Linked DNA regions of Arabidopsis thaliana. The protein of the gene in region 1 interacts with the protein of each later gene in a pairwise test. Each region holds a gene or a part of one and is shown on either strand. Other genes may lie near its edges.

Region 1 (6,933 bases):
TGGAAGCTGTGGATTCCTTCAATGCCATTGAGAAACACATTAGTGAGGAAGTCAAGGTAAGTTTACCTTCCTTTAGACTCTTAATTTCATGTTCATGTTACTTCTGTGCTAGATTCTTTTCTTTGGACACTCCCATGTAAACATTACTTACATGCCTGAGAGATGTAAAGATAGATTTTATTTTGTTAGCGATGTACATATCTGCATAGTTAGGTAGAATACGTAATGATAAACATAAACTAGTTCTCTCTTCAGCAGATTTGGAACCATTATGACATATCGAAAACATATATTTTGCAGTCGCTGGAATCAGGAGGAGGTGCAGATTCAGAAGGAACGTTTCAGAAACTGAAGAAGGATCTACAAGCGGTGTTCAGTGTGCTTCCAAAGGACATGCAGCAACTTCTGCTTTTAAATCCACAAAGAGCATCTCTTCTTCAAGATCCATCAGAGCTCCAATGAATGCTCTTCTTCACTACGGCGTCCATGAGGATTCTGATTTCTTTTCTTCCCTTTTCTGTTTCATTCTTTGAACTGTACCAAAGAAAAAAGAGAAAAATTCTTCATCTTCCCTAATTGTTTACTCGTTTTTTCTTTTGAAACATGAGAATCACACAACACCGAAATCACTGATCACTGCTGTATTTTTAACTCTATAACCAGATAAATTTATCCTTCTTGGATCCATTAAACATGTAACTGTAACTATGATTTATATTATTACGACAAATGAATAAACTGTATGACCTACAGAAGTTCTATGTCAAAGTATGCAAAGATTCGCCAACTATATGATTAATTGGTCTCTTCAGATCTTCCAATGGAAAGGAGGAATTTTCTGGATTCATAGCATCTTTCATGACATCATATCATTTTCATGGAAACCAAACCACTAGAAACATTATTATATACCATACGGCTGAAAAAAGCATCTCTCACAACAAGATCATTTCATCAAGGGATCAATCTTTACGGTATATGTACACTATTATAGCCAAGCCATAGGATACTGGCATAGAACACACACATGAAGCTTACACACAACATCACAATACAAAGACACCAAACTCTACGAGGCATTGAACATTGGCCATAGATCGGTTTCAGCTACTACACTACTGTACCCTCCTTTTTCTTCTTCTTCAACTTCATACCTTTCTGACTGGTCTGCCTCTGTTGAACTGGTGTCTGTTTCACAAGCAGAAGCCGCGACATCACATATCTCAAAAGCTCTTCACGGTGAGAGAATGTGAAATCAAGGTGAGCATACTCAAACTCATTAAACGATACATCGACCTCGGCATCTCTCATCACATTGTAGTGTTTCTTCACCATAGAGGAACGGATCACCTTGTCGTTCCTTCCCGCTACTAAATCCACAGGCACATCGATGAACTTGTAAGACTCCCCTAGATCAAGCGGTTCAGGAGAGCCATAAACCTCCATGTTAGCTGATCTGCTTCCATAATCATACATCCTGAATTTACCGGTGTGTTTGATCTGAGCAAGATGTTGCGCCACACGGAAGGAGACAGCTGGCATGTCGTTCATGTTGTAGTGAGGCAATCCTAAGACTCCGACCCAATTCGAGCTGTCTCCACCAACTACATAACTCATTAGAGTTTGGACCAATCCACCAAGAGCAGGATAGTTGTGAAAGTCACGGGCTAACTTGTTCAGAAGCATTCTGAAGAATCTTGTCGGTATGTAGAAGGCAGGCACGATGCGAGCCAAAACTGGACTAATGAAAAGGAATATGTACTCAACTATTGTGAAACCTAAGTTCGAGTCCTCATGAAACCCAGCAGGTGAAAGTAGGATTAGTCGTGAGAGTCTGTGTGGCTTCTCCTTGATTTTTCGAGTAATAACATACATCAGAATTGCAGCACCGCCTAGACTGTGACAGATGGCACAGAGCTTATAAGGCTCCTCCTGGTTGATTTCTTCATCGATATTGGGCTGGCAGAGCTTGAGTTCTGTAGTTTTTATTTCATGAATTTTTTCTATCATCGCTGGGATATCTTCAGTACCGTGCTCGTTAATGGAGTATCGCCAGAACCTGCATTTTGGTCAATAACAATGAACATTTGTACAACTTGCAAATATATACATATGATGAAACTCCACTATCATAAAGAAACCAGACAGTGCATGTAGATTAAGTAAGAAGTGAACTTTAAAGCAATAACTCACTCTTTTGAGGATATGTTCTTGTTCACATGATCTCTTGAAACTAAACCCCGAAAGTTACCCAGAAAAACATCATAGCCTGTAAAGGAAAAGAGTGTAAGAAGCTGATAAATCGTTGCCGTATGTGAATTAATAAAAGATTGGAAAATGAAAAACTTGAGGCTTGAACCTTGGTCATACGCAGCAAAAGCCGGAGATCCAACAACCCCATTAGATACCCATCTGAAGAAAAACACGCAGTAGAGAAAAAGAGTAATCAATAATGTTTCATAGGACATATATTAGATCAAAACATCAGAGGATTATAGGATGTTCCAAGTCAAAACTAAATCTTTAAGAAGGATCGGAGAGAAGGAAAGGGAAAAAAGAAGATGAGATAACTAAAGTAACTGAAAGCAGTATCCCTCCTAATCGCACCAAAAGATTTTCCCAAATCCATTTTTGTGTCTTGAGCAAATCAAACACACACGCAAAGTTGAAGGGAACAAATTATGAAAATAATTTTTTTTTGGGTAAAGAGTCAGGAACATTGAAACGCCTAGGAATGTTATGCTACATGGATATAGAAAATAATACTTCCTCAACTTTTCAGCTTACTAAGTTTCCAAAGTTTACGAGTCATCTAAGAACTAGACCATGAAACTTACCCCATTGAAGAATCCAAAACCCCATGCTGCAAAAAAACAGCTTTCCTTGCATCACGTCTGCAAAGACAAGAGTAGTCAACGATCACATTAAGAGACAATGTAACAGGAATGGAAAGCATGCACAAGCGAGCTTAATATCTAACAAGAAAGTTATACCTTGGTATCCTTTCCAAGACAAGAACATATCCGTCAGATGTAATAACACGAATAGCTTCGTAAGGATACCTACCAAGAGTAGGAGAGAAATCAAGTAAATATCAACTACTTGAGAAAGAGAAAAAAAAAATGGAAGCATGAGACATCGAATCTGCCCCTTTACCCCAACTCTGTTATGACATCTTGACACGTTCGAGTATCAGTGTTCATAGAGTTGTATAAACGTGTGGGACTTTCAACGGGCCTTTCCGTGGGGGATGGATCTGTATCTCCTAAAGTAGCAGTCTGCACAGTTTCATCATAAGCAACCTCACCATGGTTTTCTTTAGGGCTGCGACTGGAAGATGAGAACCATGATAACAATATTGCAAAAGCTTCTGATGGAGAAAGAAGAAGATGCGTAGCCTTGTGAAAAAAATCAAATATTGCTTCTATGCCGATCTCGATAGCAAGATGAAGATCCTGAAAAATAAAGCACATTAAGTAGGACGAGTTTGTCAAAAGGTTTAAAATCACAAAAATGATTGTAACATTGAATATTTGTTCGTGCATCCACAAACCTCAATAACCCCACGTCTTCTATCAGTAGTTCGGTTGGGAACATCATGGTCTTTGCTTGAGTTGGTCTTGCTAATACGAGGTCTAGATGAATGTTGGTGCCTTCTCGGGCTCGCAGGAATTCTTGAACTTCGTTTATAGAATAAACTTATAATATATTGTGGTATCCATAGCAAGATCCGTACAGGAAACATTAACCACCAAAGAATGAACGTAATCCACTCTGTCCAGTGGTTTTCAGAACTTGCAGAAGTGCTAGCCCAAGAGAGGCGTGAGCTTTGAGATGATGGTGATGGAGGCAAAGGACCATCACTATCTTCTCCAGAAGAATACTCCAAGCTTGAAGTATCAGAATCAACAGAAAGCTCATGAATGAACTCATTGAAAGAAGAGACCCCACTGCCATCAAAAACAGAGTAAAATTAGCATATTTTGAAGGCTTGCAAATAAACTAACAACAGAAGAATCATGAGAAATTATTACTTATGCATCCACCGTGGTAAACGTGGTCCACGAAACGTAGGCCTGAGTTCCCAGCCATGTAAGCCTTCAAGAATATTAGCCTTCCCTGGGAGAAGGGTCAACAGAAGAGCTGATACTCCATTTATGCACCTCGCAATGTTATTCAAAGACTCATATGTAACAGTTTTTACTGATCTGCACTAAAAGCCAAAACATAATCAAAAAGCTTATTTAGTTTAAGCTTGTTAGACAACATAAGGGAAAAGAAGAACATCTAACAAAAAGACGAACCAAAAAAAAAGAAATAGTCATTTCACCGACTCAAAGTTCATAGCCAACATCAACTCTAAAAGACGAAGCTTTGAATGAAGATACTAGAATAAAATGGTCTAACAAAACTCAAAAACACAATCTACCAATACTAATTAACAAAGAGACTTACTATAATCACCAAACGATCAAAAACTTAAAAATCTCTACTTGTCATTTATGAAACATTAGAACAACTATAGGCGCATACACAGATGAATCCACTGATGATCGATAAGAAAAAAGACTCACTCTTTGGTTACAGCGAGAGCGTTGTCCACGATCCGTTGCATTGCTTTTTTCTCAAAAATCAGATTTTTTTGTTTTTTTGGAAATATCAGAAAATTTGAAACCAAAAAACAATCTGATTCGTCGCCGTAATCCGAAAATTATCGAGGAAAACGACAAAGAGAAAATTTCTTATCCACCTGAGAAAACACAAAATTTAGCCAGAATAGAAATCTCTCGATGCTAGGAGATATTGGACCAAATCGCGATCGAGATTTAATCCGAACTCAAAATAAGGAAAACACAGAGACCCACAGGAGCCGCGATTCGAGAATCAAAAATCTAAAAAGAAAAAACAAAATTGGAGAGAATCTGACGAAAATAAAATAAAAATGGGAGAATCCGATTAAATAGGGGCACGTCGGCGATTCTTGCCGTCCAGAGACCAGAAAATGGTGACACGTGGACATGTGTTATTGGATAATGACGAATGTGACAAAAACTACGACACGTAAATTCGACTTTTGGATAACGGAGAAGGTGGATTTACCAAACAGGCAAACACACAAGTACATTTGTGGTTGTTTTCACTTAGAAAAATAGTACATTTGTTGTATGTTAACGTTGAAACATTATATTATACGAAGCTATTTCTAAAGCTTCATAATAATAATAAAAAAGTGTTTAATATTTGCCTAAATAAATGAAAAGATACTAATTACTTAATCCCTAAACCCTCTGACTGTCTCCAAAGGTTCTCGTTATCTTGATCTCAAGCAGCTTTTAAGGGCATTTCCTCTGGATGTAAGAAGCTCCATGCTCTGCATACCTGTCATGTACACAAAAAGACTCAAACCCTAGCGATGAGAAGACACTGTTTATACGTGAGTCGAGATCTAGAGAGCAATCCAATGTGTTACTTACTCAGACTTGGAGAACCACATTTGCTGGAATGAGCCTAACGATGCCAGTATACTACCTTACTTCTACCAAGTCTTTCTCGAGGCGTTCTTTCAATTACTGCATTGATGATGTTCCACCAGAATAATCTGTTCCTAATCCAAGATGAACTCAGCATCGATAAAAGGTAGAGAAACCAGACTTTTCTCTCTGCTGCTGTGAGTTCAGAGGAGGCTCTGCAAGTAGCATTGGGTGCTCCGTGGGATCAATCATTAGACAATTCCTTGAATAATAAACATTTACACAGATGAAATCATCAATCAACTATAAATGGAAAAGATAAAGATTAAACAGTTAAAGACAAAAACTAACAGATTCTGCAAATTACCTAAAAGCATGATCCCATACATTGTCCACCATATCCCAATCAGTTACAATGCCATCCTTTGTAGGTGACAATATCTGGAACAGACAAATGTCAACTAATAGAGAGACCTGAAAATTTATCTTCATCCCTAACCATTTTGAAGTTTAATAAAGAAAACTGACCTCCATTTGATCGCGGCGAAAGTTCAAAGCTTGAGATCCTGTGTAAAGCTTCCTTTTGCCTTTTTCTTTATCAGACTCCTTTGCATCCTCCGTGGTGTTTGCAGCATCATCAATATCCATTCCATTTCCATCTATCGCTCCAACAACCTTATAAGTTATATAACACATCAACAACAGCAACAACAAAAAACCTAAATTTCTCGAATTGCTTGCTCTACACTAAAAGGACCTAACTTTAACCAATTGAAAAGAGAGGAAGTAAAGAATGAGACTTACGGAAGGGAAAACAGCTTTAGGGGCATCTTCTCCGGCGTAACCAGCTTTGCAAGTGTGAGAACCTAAGTCTACTACGATAGCTGACACTTCGTCTGTTCAATATATAAGAAACCCCACCAAGGAAAAGTTTACACCTTTACGAGACGAGCTCAAGCGAAAAGGGAAAGAAGTAATGCTGAATTTGTACAATCAGAGAGAGATTTTAGAGAGGACGAAAATAAAACCTACCTCCACCGTACATGGCTGCCGAGAATGGGAGAGGTGAAGAGAGGTTTTCTCTACCGGAGCTTCGTCGGAAGGTTTAAGAACGGAACCGGAAAGTAAACTATTTAAGTGATTTCACTTTGTCTCGGATTGGGAAGTTGAATATAAAGAAGAGAAGGACTAAAACAAACAAACCTGAAATATGAGGGACTAAAACTAAAGAAACTGAAAACAAAGGGACTAAAATAAAAACAAATATGAAAAAATTAAAAATACGCCGTTGCCGGGGATCGAACCCGGGTCACCCGCGTGACAGGCGGGAATACTTACCACTATACTACAACGACTTTGTTGCTCAAGTTTTCTAAATTTGGTATTTCAATTGGTTAACTATTTCAAATTCTAAAAATTTGTTAACGAGATTCCGGTAACATTCTTGTTTTCTTGTGGTCAA
Region 2 (4,304 bases), on another chromosome or scaffold:
CAAGCAACCACATTTGCATAGTTGGTTCCATTAAGCCAATACATGAAGATATGTGACCTCATAGTTTGCTGTTCTTTTCAGTATTTGATACTTTGGAGTTTCCAAGTCTGGCGTTTTATATATCCGTAACTGCAAAAAAAGGTAGTACTTGTAAGATATGATTAACCATTTCTAAGGGGGCTCAATTCATGCCAAATGCCAAGAAAGCAACCTGCTTAAAAACATCAACAAGACCTTCAAGAGAAAAGTAGTCATTGTTCTTGATAGAATCCCACAAGTCCTGCACAACATCTACTTGTAATAAGTAGACCATACCACAATAGATTTTGGAAGAAGGACATGGCAACCATACATACCAGATGACTACAAAATTTGTTAGTTTCAGGATTAACTTCCATGATTGATAATCCAGTGAAGACAAGTTCTGGTTTCCATGGTAAAGGTATGAACTTCATCACCATTGTCCATCTCGTAGTGATCTCATATGGACCTGTCTATATATCAGCTGCATCAGTGAACTTAAAAAAAACTAGAATTAAAGAAATCAAATGATAAACAAAAGTTAGCAAAGACCTGTTTAGCCCAGTGAAGCTGAAACTGAGGAGTGAAGATATTCTTGAGGAAAGCAATGTTGAAGAGATAGCCAGAGATGGTGTCGTGCTTAGTGATTGGGTCTCTGAACTTCACGCGCTCATCGTACGCCGTTTTATCGATTCCTTGGTCGTCGAAAAGGTGAGGAAGATCCTCGTACAAGAATCCGACGAGCTCTTCCATGTTCACTGTCGACGGTGCTGAAGCCACTTCCTTGCCCACCTCAAGACTCAAAATTGGCCGTAGACGAGTGGTTACGTTGCGTCTCGGAACAGGGAGGAAACGGGTGGTTACATGCCGCCGGCAGTCACTTCCGACGGCGGTGAGTATTGGCCGGTAAAGCTGCTGATTAACGGTAGCCATTGATCGTTGATAAAAAAGTTTTCTGCTCTATTTTATTTCTTGTGGTTGTTCGCTTTCATTTAACAATCGGTTCTTTTTTGGTACTGTCGGTTCGGTTTGGTTCTGGTTTTATTTACGAACCAAACTAAATTTGTTTCGGTTAAAATTCAGATTTTTTTTTCACTCTTTAGGCTTTTTTCATTATGGAACTTTGACTTAACGAGGCCCATTCCATTTGGGCTACTGGAGGGAACTTAACTCCAACAATGGATTACTTTGCTTGCATACATTAATTACATACGTACCCAGAAATGAGACAGAGACACGAAAGTTTCGATTATACGGCAAAGTAAATATTGTTTTAGTTTATCCGTCAAAGATTGTAAAGAATACGACGACCATGTCATAAGGATTTGGACTTTGGTTGTTTGACTAATAAACTGATAGTCTTCTTAATAAATATAAATTGACAAGTTGTAAAATCAGCAGAATTTGCTGCATATAGACAATGTCAAATGGACCGGTGGTTTATCCTAAATGTCAAAATCAGAAGCTAATAATGAGCAAATGTGAATGAATTAAGACGCGAATCGGGAAAATTCAATAAATTGTCCATTGGGGGGTGCTTTAAAGAAAGATTGAAAGATGCCGAGGTTTATACCCTTTTCCTATCAAGAATATTCCATGGAATCCAACTACTTTTGACCCATTTGCGTATTTGTTAAATCTTTTCAGAAAATCAAAAGTGGGTAAATTGTCAAACTAGTTGTAGTATTGAACTACTATTTATTGATCATGCCATCATCATGGAGAGACAGATATGATCATGAAGACCAAACGTCCACGTATTTATGTCATGACGACAATCTGAGCTGGATTTGAGGATATCTGTAACTGTAAATACTATATCCAATATTCATTTTTTTTACTTTGCAATTCGTTTTTGATTAAATCTAAAAATGCAAAAAAAATAAAAAATCACTACTACATAGTGTATCTGCATGTATAAATAGACATATATTTTTAAAAAGATGATTTAATACATACTGTACATAGTTATGAAGATATCATGAACATATATAGACAATACCAAATAAGGAAATCTAATATCGTAAAATATTTAAATATCAGATGAATACAGTACAAACTCTAAAGAAAATGAATCAAGATATTAGTACGATACCCATACGAATTTAGAAAAAAATGAATCAGATAAATGGATATAAAATCTGTAATATTATTTTTCTTTTTTTGGACAGCAAATCTGTAATAATAAGTATTGGATAAATAAATTGGCATGTGAGTTGTGATTGATATTTATGAACTGACATAGGCATGTGTTATAATCTCACCCACAGATAACCACGAAAAAGTAATAAATAAGAAAGGAATAAAAGGAAGATATTCTCCCGAAAGAAAGACAGAGAAAAAAGGATATTCTAATTAGAAACCTTAAGAATATTCTTTTTAATCCCTTTTATATCTCTAAACCTCTTCCCCCTCTCTTTCTTCTTCATTCATCATTCTCACTTAAGTTTCCCAGAAAATAAAAGAGCTATGAAGTTTGGTAAGAGTCTCAGCAATCAGATCGAGCAAACTCTTCCTGAATGGCAAGACAAGTTCTTGTCTTACAAAGAACTCAAAAAACGACTCAAACTCATCGGTTCCAAAACCGCCGATCGTCCCGTTAAACGACTCCGTTTAGATGAGTTTTCCGTCGGAATATCGAAAGAAGAGATCAATTTCATCCAATTGTTAGAAGACGAGTTGGAGAAATTCAACAATTTCTTCGTTGAGAAGGAAGAAGAATATATCATCAGACTAAAGGTAATATAAACAACATTTCGAATCCGATTCCTAAAAATGATCATCTCTTTTTCTAATGTGTCTCTGTCTGTACAAAAACAGGAATTTAGAGATAGAATTGCGAAAGCTAAGGATTCAATGGAGAAGATGATAAAAATCAGGAAGGAGATTGTTGATTTCCATGGAGAAATGGTTCTTCTTGAGAATTACAGTGCTCTTAATTACACTGGTAATTTAATTTAATTGCCTCATTAAGACTTAATCTTATTATTAGTAGTAGAACAAAACGTTGATGAATGGTTTGTTGAAACAACAGGATTGGTTAAGATACTGAAGAAGTATGACAAAAGAACTGGTGATCTCATGCGTTTACCTTTCATCCAGAAAGTTCTTCAGCAACCTTTTTACACTACTGACTTATTGTTCAAGCTTGTCAAGGAATCTGAGGCAATGCTTGATCAGATCTTCCCTGCTAACGAAACTGAGTCTGAGATTATCCAAGCAGAGTTATCAGAGCATAAGTTCATGGAGAGTCTTCATATGAAGAGCACAATCGCTGCCTTGCGGGTTTTGAAGGAGATCAGGAGTGGAAGTTCTACTGTTAGTGTGTTTTCATTGCCGCCTCTACAGTTAAATGGCTTAGATGAGACATGGAAGAAGATTCCATTGTTGGAGCAAGAAGCCAAATAGAGAGTGAGACAGAGGCACACTCGCTCTATTCCACTTTTTTATACAATAGAAGAAGCTAACAGATTAAACAAGACATTATCATCAATGTACACAAAAAGGCAGAAGAAACTATAGGATCATGTTTCTGGATATCATCTTTGGTCGGTCATAAGTCCTTAGGTTACACAAAACTGCAATGTAACTTTGTTTCTGTGTTGGGTGTGTTGTAGTTGATGTAATATATACCACTTCAGATTAATTATTGATTTCTTCTTTTCCAAAGTCATATGCTAGATATTTCAAGTTCTCTACTACTACATATACAAGTTCATAATCCTCTTCAAGAAGAAATGATGACTGCAAATGATACTAGTGACTCGATCTCAATTCAAGGTAAGACTTTGCATAATGCAACAGACCAATTGATTTCGTATTCAATCTCAATTCAAGTCCTTCAATTTTTATTTCAATTTTTTTGTTCGTTTTGTGATAGATATCAAAACAAGTTCTTATAAATAACACAATGATTCGCTACAAACCAAAACCAGAAACCAACACAAATTCTTAAGAAACCAAGTTGCAGAAAAGTGAATTACGTTACAAACTTGAAGAGAAGATAGTAGAATAATGGACGGTTTTTGATTTGGTAGTTGCCTAAACAAAACTTCAGTCAAAGCCTTCCCATTCGCGGAGACCCATCATACCGAGCAATCAATTCAGAGAATGCCTTAGATCAGAAGCTTCTCAATAGCATCCTGAAGAAATGTAAAAAAAGAGTTAATGATTAACCAATTCTGTGGAATCAATGATGGTTCAAGGTTATAAAGAGAGTACACAAGTGAGGGCTAAGTTACCTTGAGATGTTGAATCTGTGATTTCAATTGACTAGCTTCGTT
Region 3 (4,951 bases), on another chromosome or scaffold:
TTATCTCAGTAATAGTTATACAAATCAAAATGATTTTTATAGACTAAATTATATAATTCATAGATGGTTCATTTATGCAATAATAATAGTTATCTGATTCCGGGAACATATGATATGGCCATTCTTTTGTTTAAGAAAAAAAAAAAGAAAAACCATTAATGAGAACATGTGTTGAACCAAAACAATTATGACAAGTTTGTGAAATGATCCTGTTGTCACAATTATTTTGTTGAAAGATAAGAAGTGGAACCCATTATATTATTATGTTTCAGGATTCACCATTTGATACAAATTGATCTTAAGCGTTTTAACTTTTAACTAGTTACTTATTTAGCTGATTGTTACCTGAGAAACATAAGACCGTTTAAGAAAAAACAAAAACATGGTTAAATGAGAAAACATAGTATAAAGGAAAGAAAAAAGAAGGTAATTATAATTTAAAATTAACAAAAATATAAATTGTCAGCAGTGGGGTTTGAACCCACGCCCTCGTAAGAGGACCAGAACTTAAGTCTGGCGCCTTAGACCACTCGGCCATACTGACATTTGTTAATATTCATACTTATTACATATATATAACCAGTAAATATACAAACATGTTATATTTTTATTTTTTGGACAAATAAAGTAACAAACACTTAAAAAATGAGCTCAGAGAAAATAAAAATCTAAATTGTCAGAAGTGGGGTTTGAACCCACGCCCTCTTACGAGGACCAGAACTTGAGTCTGGCGCCTTAGACCACTCGGCCATCCTGACTTGTTTGATATCAAGACATACTACAAATATATAATCGAGAAAAAACGATATTTGAGTAACGTACCATATTAGAAACACAGAAATCAATCAGTACATTAAAAATATAGATCAAGAGAACGACTACAATCATTGTGCTAATGCCACAAACCACTCCAAAAACAAAGCAAAGTTGTCAAGTAAAATTTGGGTTGAGATCTAACACATAACCTTTTAGATTACCAATTCACAACACAACACAACCCACGTGTATAAAAACCAGAGCATTGTGCACATTGCACTCCAAAGAAAACCCACACAAAACAAAAACCCCAAAAAAAACTAATCCTTCTTCTTGTCTTTCAACGGTCCTCTTGGGATTTTGCTGAATACCTTTGCGTCCAACACAGCGTATTGCTTCTTCAACTCAGCCATTGCTTTCTCACCGTATGAGTCTACTTTGTCTTCGTACTTGTCGTAGAAAAGAGGAACAGTGAAGAGCAGAACCAGAGCTGGACCAAATCAATAACCGTTCATCAGCAATGTCAGAATAAGAGAGAAGGCAGAAGCAAAATACTTTTAGCAACAGTAAGTGTTACCTATGTATGCCAATGTCAAGAAACTATAGCAGCCGCCCAAGATCGATAGAACCCACAATCCGGCAATAGCCTAATTCAATCAAACAGTACAATAAGTGTCAAACTTAAGTGAGACATCGAGAGAGGAGTAACGAGTAAGTCCAGGACAGTTTAAACATACAGAGAGGAACTTCTTGATATCCCTCCCCGACGCAATCTCACGAAGAGAAGAGATCCCACGGTTGATTTCGATTCTAAGACCCGAAGCAAGCTGAAGAAGAGGTTCTTCAGGGATATGAACTTCAGGAATCTTTGGTGGAGACCTGAAAGAGAATGAAAATTTGGTAACGAAGATGAGTCAAATAAGCTTGACAACCTTGACCTGTTTCATATGATTGACCACAAAACTTACTTGTGAATGAACATAGTGGCATTAGACCATAGAAACAACACAGCAAGAGCAACGATCATAACGTGACATAACAGAGTAAGAAGATGATACTCCATCAATTCAAATAGCACCCATGCCACTGTAGCACCGCCAAATACACCTCCTGACATTTTCTTGTCCTTCCACATAAATATATCTGCCGCTGCAATTAAAAAGATCACCAAATTAGGGTTTATCAATCACGAAATAAGAACCATATCATCAATAACTACAAGAATCTCACAAGATCATTATACACATTTCCAAAAAAAAAAAAATCAATTCCATCACAAATTCTCTCAAACTAGTCAGAAATCAAAATCGAAATCGAATTCAAATCAATGTAAACCTCTATGTAGATTCAAACGATCTTCTTCACGGATCCCTTAAACTAGTGAGAAAATCAAACAGATCAAGCCAACGCAAACGAATTCGTTTTAAAAAACTGAGAACAAATATCGAAACGGGATCAGAGTAAACATACGTTTTCCGCCGCCGAGAACCTTATGAACAGGTCTCTCTCTTCCGAACAAACGATAAACCTTCGATTTCAAAGACTTTGGAGACGATGACGAAGACTTCTTCTCGTTTTCGTCATCTGATGATGATGAAGACGACGAATCACCTTTGTGATGGATCTTCTCCGATAACTTCTCCATCAACGATTCCCTCTCTACAACCTCCACTGCTGGATCCAAATTAGGTGAAGATTCTTCATGCTTATGTTCATCCGCCATTGTTTCCGATTCAAGAGAAGAAGAAGAACGATCAAAGTTATTGTTCTAGCGTTTTCGTTACACCTCTGAGAAGAAAGATCTCGAAGTCGAATGAAAAAACCAACAATAAAAGGAGGAAAATTAGAATAAATCTGAGCCGTTGAATATTTTGTTTCTGATCTGATCCGTTGGTTGGTTCGGATCCAAACCTGCTGCTTCCTTAACTAGAGCGATGCTTAGGAAAAGATAAATGTCGTGGGGACATATAAAAAGTGTTTTCACAGGACCGAGATGTTAACGCTGTTAAGGATAACGGCTTTTTAAGTCACGTGTAATTAACGGCTCTGTTATTAAAATGGCTATTAAACTTTTCTGGTTCAGGTGTCACGCGGCTGGACAAAGAAACGGTCGAACCGGTGGTCATGTGACACGTGGTTGAATCGTAGCCGCTTGCTTATGTGACTCATGTACTTTCGGTCTGCATTCAAAAGACAATGATAATTTAATTATCTTGACACTAAATTAAAATAATATTTTGCTGCTGGCCAAAAAACTAGAAAATAAAAATATTAGAGAAGTAGGAACCGTCTCTTGGTTAAAAGAAGTGTTTAAAAAAGAATGCTCTAGAAAGTGAAAAAGCATTTAACTTGACAGCGTTAGCTCGAGTCGTAATATGGGCCCAATGAGCTAAAACAATGATGAAGCCCAGTTACTTTCTCATGTCCAAGAAAGCAAATATGATTCAAAACCGAAACCATGATTCTAAACCGGTCAAGAACCAAGGAACAGTGAAATTTTTGAGGCTTTTGAGTCAGTTCGGGTTTAAAAAGACCCTTTTCCCCAGCTTTCTTCATTCATTTTCAAGTTGATAACCAAATGGGCCAAACTAGTTATCGGCCCATAATAATAAGAGAGCTCAAAGACAGGCCCAATAATAAGTGCTCAAATTTGAAAACAATTGAACAGACAGAACCAATCATCCCAATGATCCCATCATCCCCCTTTGTTTGAATTTCTCATTTTTACTCCTTTACACTCTTTTTTTCTTCACAAGCTTTAACTGTGACTTTTTACATTTTTTAACAGTCCTACTCTAGATGAAATGGTTAAAAGTTGGTATTTGTGATACACAAAACGAAAAGAAAACACAACAAGTAGGATACGAGAACGAACATGAACATTGATTCATTCATTCAAAAAACCATAATCGTGGGGGATTAATCCTTTTACCAGTTAGAACTGTTCTTTGTGGAAATCGAACCTGGTAATTCCCGTCTGGTTAAATTCATGGCAGAGTGTTGAAAGTTCCTTCCCCAAACTTGGAACTCCACAATAGAACACTCCTGTAACAAACAAAAAAACATTCTTCAGACAAGGCAAATATACACCGCGATATCGAATATCATTTCAGTGAACTGATGTTTCTGTGTGTTACCAATTCTTGCGTTCCTATGTTTGGTGCTAATCTTTGATAAAACTTTCTTCCATTTTGGCCTCCCAAAATGTGTCCTTACCTAAAATAACCAAAAGTTGTTATACAAGATCAGAAAAGAGTGTTGTTTGTGATAAAGTAATCAACTAATCATTAAAGATCATTACCTTGGTTCCTGAAAAAATGTCGACGCCATTTTTGGCATGGTTTAACGTTTGGATCATAGTGAGAAGATTGGATCGAGTATCTCCTTCTTCGTAGACGCTAGTCAAGTAGTTGTGCATCTCAATAACACCCTTGTAGTTGTTCACAAGACAAATACGTCAGTGAGTAACTTGAAATCATACAATCTTTTGAATTTAAAATGAATAAGTGTATTGTTTTTACCTTTCTATCTGAATCAGCAATCTCGTTCATGATTTCTTTGAACCAATCGAACGAGCCTTGTTCTCGTGTTACCCAGTAAAAGTAAGCATTCTTGGTATTCAGCGTCTTCCGTTGAGTTTGCGGAATCCGACTCGCAGCTTCTGAGTTTAAGCAACTGAAACTGTGATCCGACGAGATGTTGCTGTTACTACAACTACCTGAGATGCATTCCTGAGAATATAACATAACTCCAAAAAAGTTTAGTTGAGATTCTGTTACTCATCAACAAGGTTTTTAAGCTTGTTATACTCACAGCTTGTTCCTGTTGCTTAATAATGTTATTGAGTAGATCTCTCAAAATGCTAACGAAAGGTGTTGCGCCGATTCCAAGGCCAACCAGTAATACCACATCATACTTCCAATGGTCTTGCGCTGGAGCGCCATAAGGTCCATCTATCAACAGCTCTGGAAAACTATATTACAAGAGAGAGTATCAAAATTCACATTCTGAGAATAATATATTGAATTTTAAAGAATTTTATGCACCTTCTTTGGTTTGGTACATCTGCTCTGAGAAGTCCGCTTTTTCCAGCTTCAGGGGCATGACATACCACTGAGAATGCCTTCTTAATCCCTTCTGTCCAATCACCGCGCTGACGAATGTGAATGCTGAGATAATCATCTCCAGGGGAAGA
Region 4 (5,650 bases), about 18 Mb from region 1:
TTTCTAGATTTTGGAATGATTAAAAAATGCATACATGATGTTTTTATAAGATTTTTACGGTGTTGGTTCTATTTTGTTTTTCTTATTGCCATTTTTTCGATTATTAGTGTTTTGTATGTTAAACTTGCCGATTGTTCCAATTACTATAATATAACAAAAACAAGTTTTAGCTATCGATTTTTCCAAAGTTTTACAACGAAGTTTTTATAAGTTAACATGAAGTAATAATAGTATATGTTTTAAAATTATACGTTTTTTTGTATGAAATTAAATGTTACATTACACTATTAAAGATTCCAATAATTAAAACACATGTTACAATGAGTAAATTTTATTATCAGACAATAAACATCTCTTTGCTCTAAGAAGAAACCTATGCTAGTGAAGCGTTGACTCTGGAAAGATGCAAGTGCAACGTGTCGCTGAAACATTGAAGGCGCGTGTAGAAAAATGTTAAGCTAAAGGGAAGTTCACTTTCTTTAACCAAGTTTTGCGTTTTGCAAATTACAACTAAAGAATCCACTAAAGCTAACCCAACTAAATTCAAACATTTTTCTATGTGATCAGTTTACCATCAAACTATTTCATATTTTTGCAATGTGTAGTAAAAACTTTCTTTGTTACATTATATGCTTCTTTTATAAGCAAAAATACCATATTACATTACATGTTCATTTCATTTTTGTTTGGTATTTGCGCTTACAATTTACAAAATGATTTTGTTTGATACTATTTACATTTACATGTGAAATTATTGTGTTCATCGTAAAACGTTCAAAATTTCTAAAAATTGTAAGAAATTATTGTAAATGTAAACAAAGTCGGTTTCCTATAAAACCACACGTCTGAACCACCTTAATCATCATCACAACATGAAATTACAAAAGCAGCGACTTTGTCGATTGCCGTAGTTTCATTGTAGCATAGATAATCCCGTCACGTGATGTTATCTATTTTTAACTGTTTCAATGTAGTCAGAAAAGCTATTTGTTTGATTTCAGAACTGTTTGATTAGTGGCCATTGAAAAATTCTATAATCTATAGTCAATAGTCTATACACAATTGAAAATGGTATAGTTGATTTTTTAAAATACGCCATTAAATAAAATTATATATAGAACTTCTCTATAATCGATAAAGTCGAACACTCCAGGCAACAAGCGGACCGACCACGGAGTCTAACGTAAGAGTATTATTAGTGATACTGTAGGTTTTCTTTGACTAACGATAAAGAAAAAACAAACATGTTTAATTTCTCGTGTCCTCTATATTCATGAGTCATGACGTTCATACAATTTATTCTTGTTTTAAATGACGTTCATACATCATTTTCATGGTTGTCTATTAGTTCACTAGAAAAACGAAGTCTTGAACGTTGAAGCGAAGCATTGAATATCATTTTATAATTTTATGGACTAAACTATACATTTCAATCATCTTTGCAAAAAAGAAAAAAAAAAATGAGTTAGATCATAAGGAGTCAGGACAACAGCTAGCACAAAAATCTCAAAATCCTATACTGTTTAACCCAAAACAACCGTAGAACAAATATTATTATACACCCAAAAAAAAAAACATATTTGCAATCACATTAGTTTGTAAACACTTCTATTTCGTTCCATAACCAAAAAAAAAAAAAAAAAAAAATCAACATTCAATTTTTTATTTTAAAACATGTTTGCATATGTTCATGGTATGACATTGGGTATTAATCTATCACAGAGAGCTAAAGCCCATATAAATAATAACAGAAGGCCCATATCTATTAATAACCAACTCTTAACCGGTCCATTCTAACTGTTTTTCTCAAATACAAAACACGTGGATAACACGAGGAATTAAAATTGAAGTTAAACACCACACCATGTCGCGTACGAAGCTGCCACATCACTGTTCTATTAACACGTGGCTTAATATGATGCAATATAGACCCACCGATAGCTGGCGCTTTCTAGTTTACCAAGGTGCGACGTACCAGATAACACCACCTCTCCACTTTTGAAAATTAAAACGCTCTCTTTTGGTAATTATTTAGGGAAACTTCGATAATTAATCGAATAATGAAGGACTAATTTGCAGTTTTAAGGAAATAAGTAAGCACACACGTTAGAGAAGAAAGACCGTTCCAGATTGCCACGTCATCGTCTCCTCTCAACGAGTTTCTGCAAAACCTGAAACGTGCTGCACCTTGCCTCTCTTTCTCTCTCTTCCTTCGTTTCTCTCTCGATTTGAAGAGAGAAAATTCGTTCGATTTCGTTTTCTCTTCTTCTTTTGGATTTTCCCGGAAAATTTTGGAATCGGTGAGTCTCTATCGATTACTGGTCAACCATGAATATCTTTAGATTTGCTGGCGATATGAGTCACTTGATCAGTGTCTTAATCCTTCTTCTCAAAATCTACGCGACGAAATCTTGCGCTGGTGAGTTCTCTCTCTCTCTCTCTCTTTCATGAAATGTGTTGTGTATATTTTGAAGACGAGCTCGTAGACGAAACAATCGCATTTTGCTTTGACCTTTTGTTTTCCTTTCCATAGCTTTCAAATGCAATCTTATTTGAATCCTGTTGAGGTCTATTTATCGATTTCGAGGCGAATCCGAGTTGGTAGATTGAAATTGCAAGTCAAAATAGTTGTGAAATCTCAATCTTCGAAACCACTATGGAATTTCTAAACGAGTGAGATCTCTCACCCCTAAATTGCATTAGGTTTAACGGAAAATTGCTACACGGAATGGAAAATGCTTGTAGATGCTCATGATTTTCTCATAGATTGTGCAGCTCCTAACATTGTTGCTGTTGACTTTTGGATTTTGTTGGCTAGGAATCTCTCTCAAGACTCAAGAGCTCTATGCGCTTGTGTTCTTGACTCGGTACTTGGATCTGTTTACGGATTATGTATCTCTGTACAACAGCATCATGAAGATTGTCTTCATTGCCAGCTCTTTGGCTATCGTTTGGTGTATGCGTAGGCATCCACTTGTGAGGAGGTCATACGATAAGGACCTGGACACATTTCGTCATCAGTATGTTGTGTTAGCGTGTTTTGTACTGGGACTTATCCTGAATGAAAAATTCACAGTTCAAGAGGTATTTTCATATGAATTTCACATTGCTTTTGTGTTTTTAGGTTGTAGAGACTAGGAAAGCGAATACTTGTTGTTAGAAGACATGCATATGTTGTGTAATCTTGTTTTTGGTTTATTTATTCATTTGATTCATTCGGTTCCTTCTTCTTATATCATTTGGATTTGGTAACTATCTTGGCTAGTGTAGAATAGAATATCGTCTATGTAAATGAAACTGAACATAACTCCTTCCAGAACCAATTAGGAGTCCGGCGTTTATAGTTTTATTTTTGCTTGTTTAAACGTTGTACTACCTATGTAGCCTCTCACTCGCTGATTGTTTTGAGAAACTCTTTGAATATCAAACTGTTGCATCGTGAAAGGTTTGTTTGCTTCCATTCATGGAATCTTCTGTGTCCTACCTACCTATGTTCCATAAGGTGCCCCATGGATTAGTGTCATCTGTATCTCGCTGTTACTTTTCTGGCCATTGTGTTCTTTGATTATCTTGTCATAAGAAACTGTAGTGACTCCTTATATGCACTTCACTAAGATCGTTTTCCCTTACTACCTTCATATGTATTTTTCCAGTATATGCTCTTGGTAAAGATCTGATCTTTGCAAACTGCCTTCACTCTTTAAGTATTTTTGCAGCATTGTGGCCTCTCTGTGTTGATAGCCAGAATCATTGTGCAATATGTTAATTCTGTGCATTCCAAACCATTTCAGGTGTTCTGGGCGTTTTCTATCTACTTAGAGGCAGTTGCTATCCTTCCCCAGTTGGTTCTGCTACAAAGAAGTGGGAATGTCGACAATTTGACTGGGCAATATGTTGTCTTTCTCGGGTACGTAATTCTAACCAGACATATGCGTTTGCTCACTTGATCTCCACTGGCTTCTCTGTTGGGTTTGTTTTTAGAATTGGTTTATCTTATATATATACTGTGTCTTTCACTGCTCATGCACTTGTTAACTTGATCAATGAGAATCGCTCTCCAGTGTCATTGTGGTGTTTAAAAATCAGTGCATATTTCTAAAGTCCAGACATTGTTTTCCGTTTAATGTTAATGCGTCTGGAAGCTGAGCTGAACTATATTTTTTTCTATAAAGGAAATCAGACTGCTTTACATCTTGCTATGCATTTGGTTCTGATGCATACCTTTGTGTCCAGTGCACAATATTTCAATGTGCAAAATTGAGTAAGTATTCTGTATGCACTCACATGGGCAATGATTAACATGCAGGGCGTATCGGGGACTCTATATTATCAACTGGATCTATCGCTATTTCACAGAAGATCATTTCACTAGATGGATTGGTAATGTTTCAACAAAGAAGCACTAAATGCATTTTAACCATTTGTTTTTCCTCAATGCTAATGTTTTACGTAAATCCATTTTCCAGCTTGTGTGTCTGGTCTTGTCCAAACAGCTCTCTATGCGGATTTCTTCTACTACTACTACATAAGGTAAAGTAACCTCACCAGTCTGAATAATATTCTCTTTATAGTTACTGATCATGTTACTGACTTTGGATCCTTTTTGATTTTGTTGTAGCTGGAAAACCAACACCAAACTTAAGCTTCCGGCTTGAAAAGAACCCGAATTTTTTTGCAATAGTATCAAAATCCAGGAAGTTACAGCAATGGTGACATTAGAAAAGAAAGACATGGTTAACATTTGGGTCCTCCCTCTTTCTAACAATGAGTTGAAAATTGAATGATGCAGGATTGTTGTTTAAAATGTGTTTTTTTTTTAGTCTTTAATGCACATTGTAACTTTCCCGACGATTTTAGACATTGAGAAGAGGCATCGTTTTATCAAAACTAGTCTTTATAGATAACACACAAACTCTGTTTCTTTTGTGCGAGTGTTTAGTTCAAAACTGTAGCTCAGATCAGAGCCAAGTTAACAATGTGTCTTCAAAACTTAAACCTAGTCTTCTTGATTGTGTTTCACTATCTTGGTCTTCTTCTTGTGCTCTCGTGTCTTCTTGCTTCTTAGCTCGTCTTTCTCTTCACCTTCAGAGACTTTTTCTCTACTGCGTTTCTCTTTCTTTGACTTTTTTGTTTTGACCGGAGCCTTCTCAATCTCGTCTTCATTCTCCTCATCGTCTTCACCCTCAAAGACTATTTCTCTACTGCGTTTCTCTTTCTTTGACTTCTTTCTTTTCACAGGAGCCTTCTCTGTTTCATCATCTTCCTGGTCCATGATCGTCATCTTCTCCTCTGTGGCAGCCTCAGCCACTGTGTTTGCTACAGCTGTCTCTGCTTCAACCATGAATCCAATCATTTTACAAACATACTAACAGAGGAATACAAACATAGATGCGATTTGTGAACGGCATTAGAAAACAAACAAACCTTCTCCAGAAAAGCCCGAGTCGAATACAAGACCTGTAAGATGCTGCTTCAAGAAAACCTGCAATAAAACAATGATATATAAGTAAGACTCAACTTCACCAAAAAAATACTAGTCCAAAGGTTGAAGAGCATACCGCAGAAATGAGCTGGCGTGTCTTAACGTCATAAACACGTAAATATCGGTCCAGCCCTAGACAATTCAATTAAAAGAAAAACAGATGAAATT

The links.
Region 2: the proteins of AT1G73920 (region 1) and SPX1 interact in a two-hybrid assay, tested with the Arabidopsis thaliana proteins (one large-scale study listed by BioGRID).
Region 3: the proteins of AT1G73920 (region 1) and BTI2 interact in a two-hybrid assay, tested with the Arabidopsis thaliana proteins (one large-scale study listed by BioGRID).
Region 4: the proteins of AT1G73920 (region 1) and ERD2 interact in a two-hybrid assay, tested with the Arabidopsis thaliana proteins (one large-scale study listed by BioGRID).

What each region holds. Positions count from the first base shown.
Region 1 is NC_003070.9:27,788,876-27,795,808, reverse strand, and holds AT1G73920 (alpha/beta-Hydrolases superfamily protein), read right to left. Parts: upstream 5,073-6,933; 5' UTR 4,616-5,072; coding exon 4,575-4,615; intron 4,214-4,574; exon of another isoform or gene 4,209-4,213; coding exon 4,035-4,208; intron 3,951-4,034; coding exon 3,554-3,950; intron 3,456-3,553; coding exon 3,157-3,455; intron 3,063-3,156; coding exon 2,994-3,062; intron 2,895-2,993; coding exon 2,838-2,894; intron 2,413-2,837; coding exon 2,360-2,412; intron 2,270-2,359; coding exon 2,194-2,269; intron 2,060-2,193; coding exon 1,111-2,059; 3' UTR 881-1,110; downstream 1-880. Other genes in the region: AT1G73930 (polarity axis stabilization protein), read left to right, coding at 1-56, 301-462; ARP4A (actin-related proteins 4A), read right to left, coding at 5,509-5,686, 5,839-5,912, 6,000-6,146, 6,276-6,367, 6,504-6,516.
Region 2 is NC_003076.8:6,799,939-6,804,242, forward strand, and holds SPX1 (SPX domain-containing protein 1), read left to right. Parts: upstream 1-2,343; 5' UTR 2,344-2,490; coding exon 2,491-2,760; intron 2,761-2,841; coding exon 2,842-2,968; intron 2,969-3,055; coding exon 3,056-3,429; 3' UTR 3,430-3,717; downstream 3,718-4,304. Other genes in the region: HBP5 (SOUL heme-binding family protein), read right to left, coding at 58-129, 212-280, 357-494, 574-954; AT5G20160 (Ribosomal protein L7Ae/L30e/S12e/Gadd45 family protein), read right to left, coding at 4,137-4,163, 4,263-4,304. UniProt on the Arabidopsis thaliana protein: Plays a positive role in plant adaptation to phosphate starvation. Inhibits PHR1 DNA-binding activity in a Pi-dependent manner.
Region 3 is NC_003075.7:6,837,100-6,842,050, forward strand, and holds BTI2 (VIRB2-interacting protein 2), read right to left. Parts: upstream 2,938-4,951; 5' UTR 2,480-2,937; coding exon 2,227-2,479; intron 1,906-2,226; coding exon 1,725-1,905; intron 1,636-1,724; coding exon 1,494-1,635; intron 1,404-1,493; coding exon 1,334-1,403; intron 1,247-1,333; coding exon 1,077-1,246; 3' UTR 812-1,076; downstream 1-811. Other genes in the region: AT4G11230 (Riboflavin synthase-like superfamily protein), read right to left, coding at 3,692-3,801, 3,894-3,972, 4,058-4,186, 4,278-4,487, 4,570-4,729, 4,803-4,951.
Region 4 is NC_003070.9:10,257,585-10,263,234, reverse strand, and holds ERD2 (ER lumen protein retaining receptor family protein), read left to right. Parts: upstream 1-2,002; 5' UTR 2,003-2,328; coding exon 2,329-2,419; intron 2,420-2,426; exon of another isoform or gene 2,427-2,673; intron 2,674-2,818; coding exon 2,819-3,084; intron 3,085-3,791; coding exon 3,792-3,907; intron 3,908-4,306; coding exon 4,307-4,380; intron 4,381-4,466; coding exon 4,467-4,530; intron 4,531-4,618; coding exon 4,619-4,655; 3' UTR 4,656-4,987; downstream 4,988-5,650. Other genes in the region: AT1G29320 (Transducin/WD40 repeat-like superfamily protein), read right to left, coding at 4,997-5,331, 5,425-5,482, 5,559-5,614. UniProt on the Arabidopsis thaliana protein: Required for the retention of luminal endoplasmic reticulum proteins. Determines the specificity of the luminal ER protein retention system. Also required for normal vesicular traffic through the Golgi. This receptor recognizes H-D-E-L.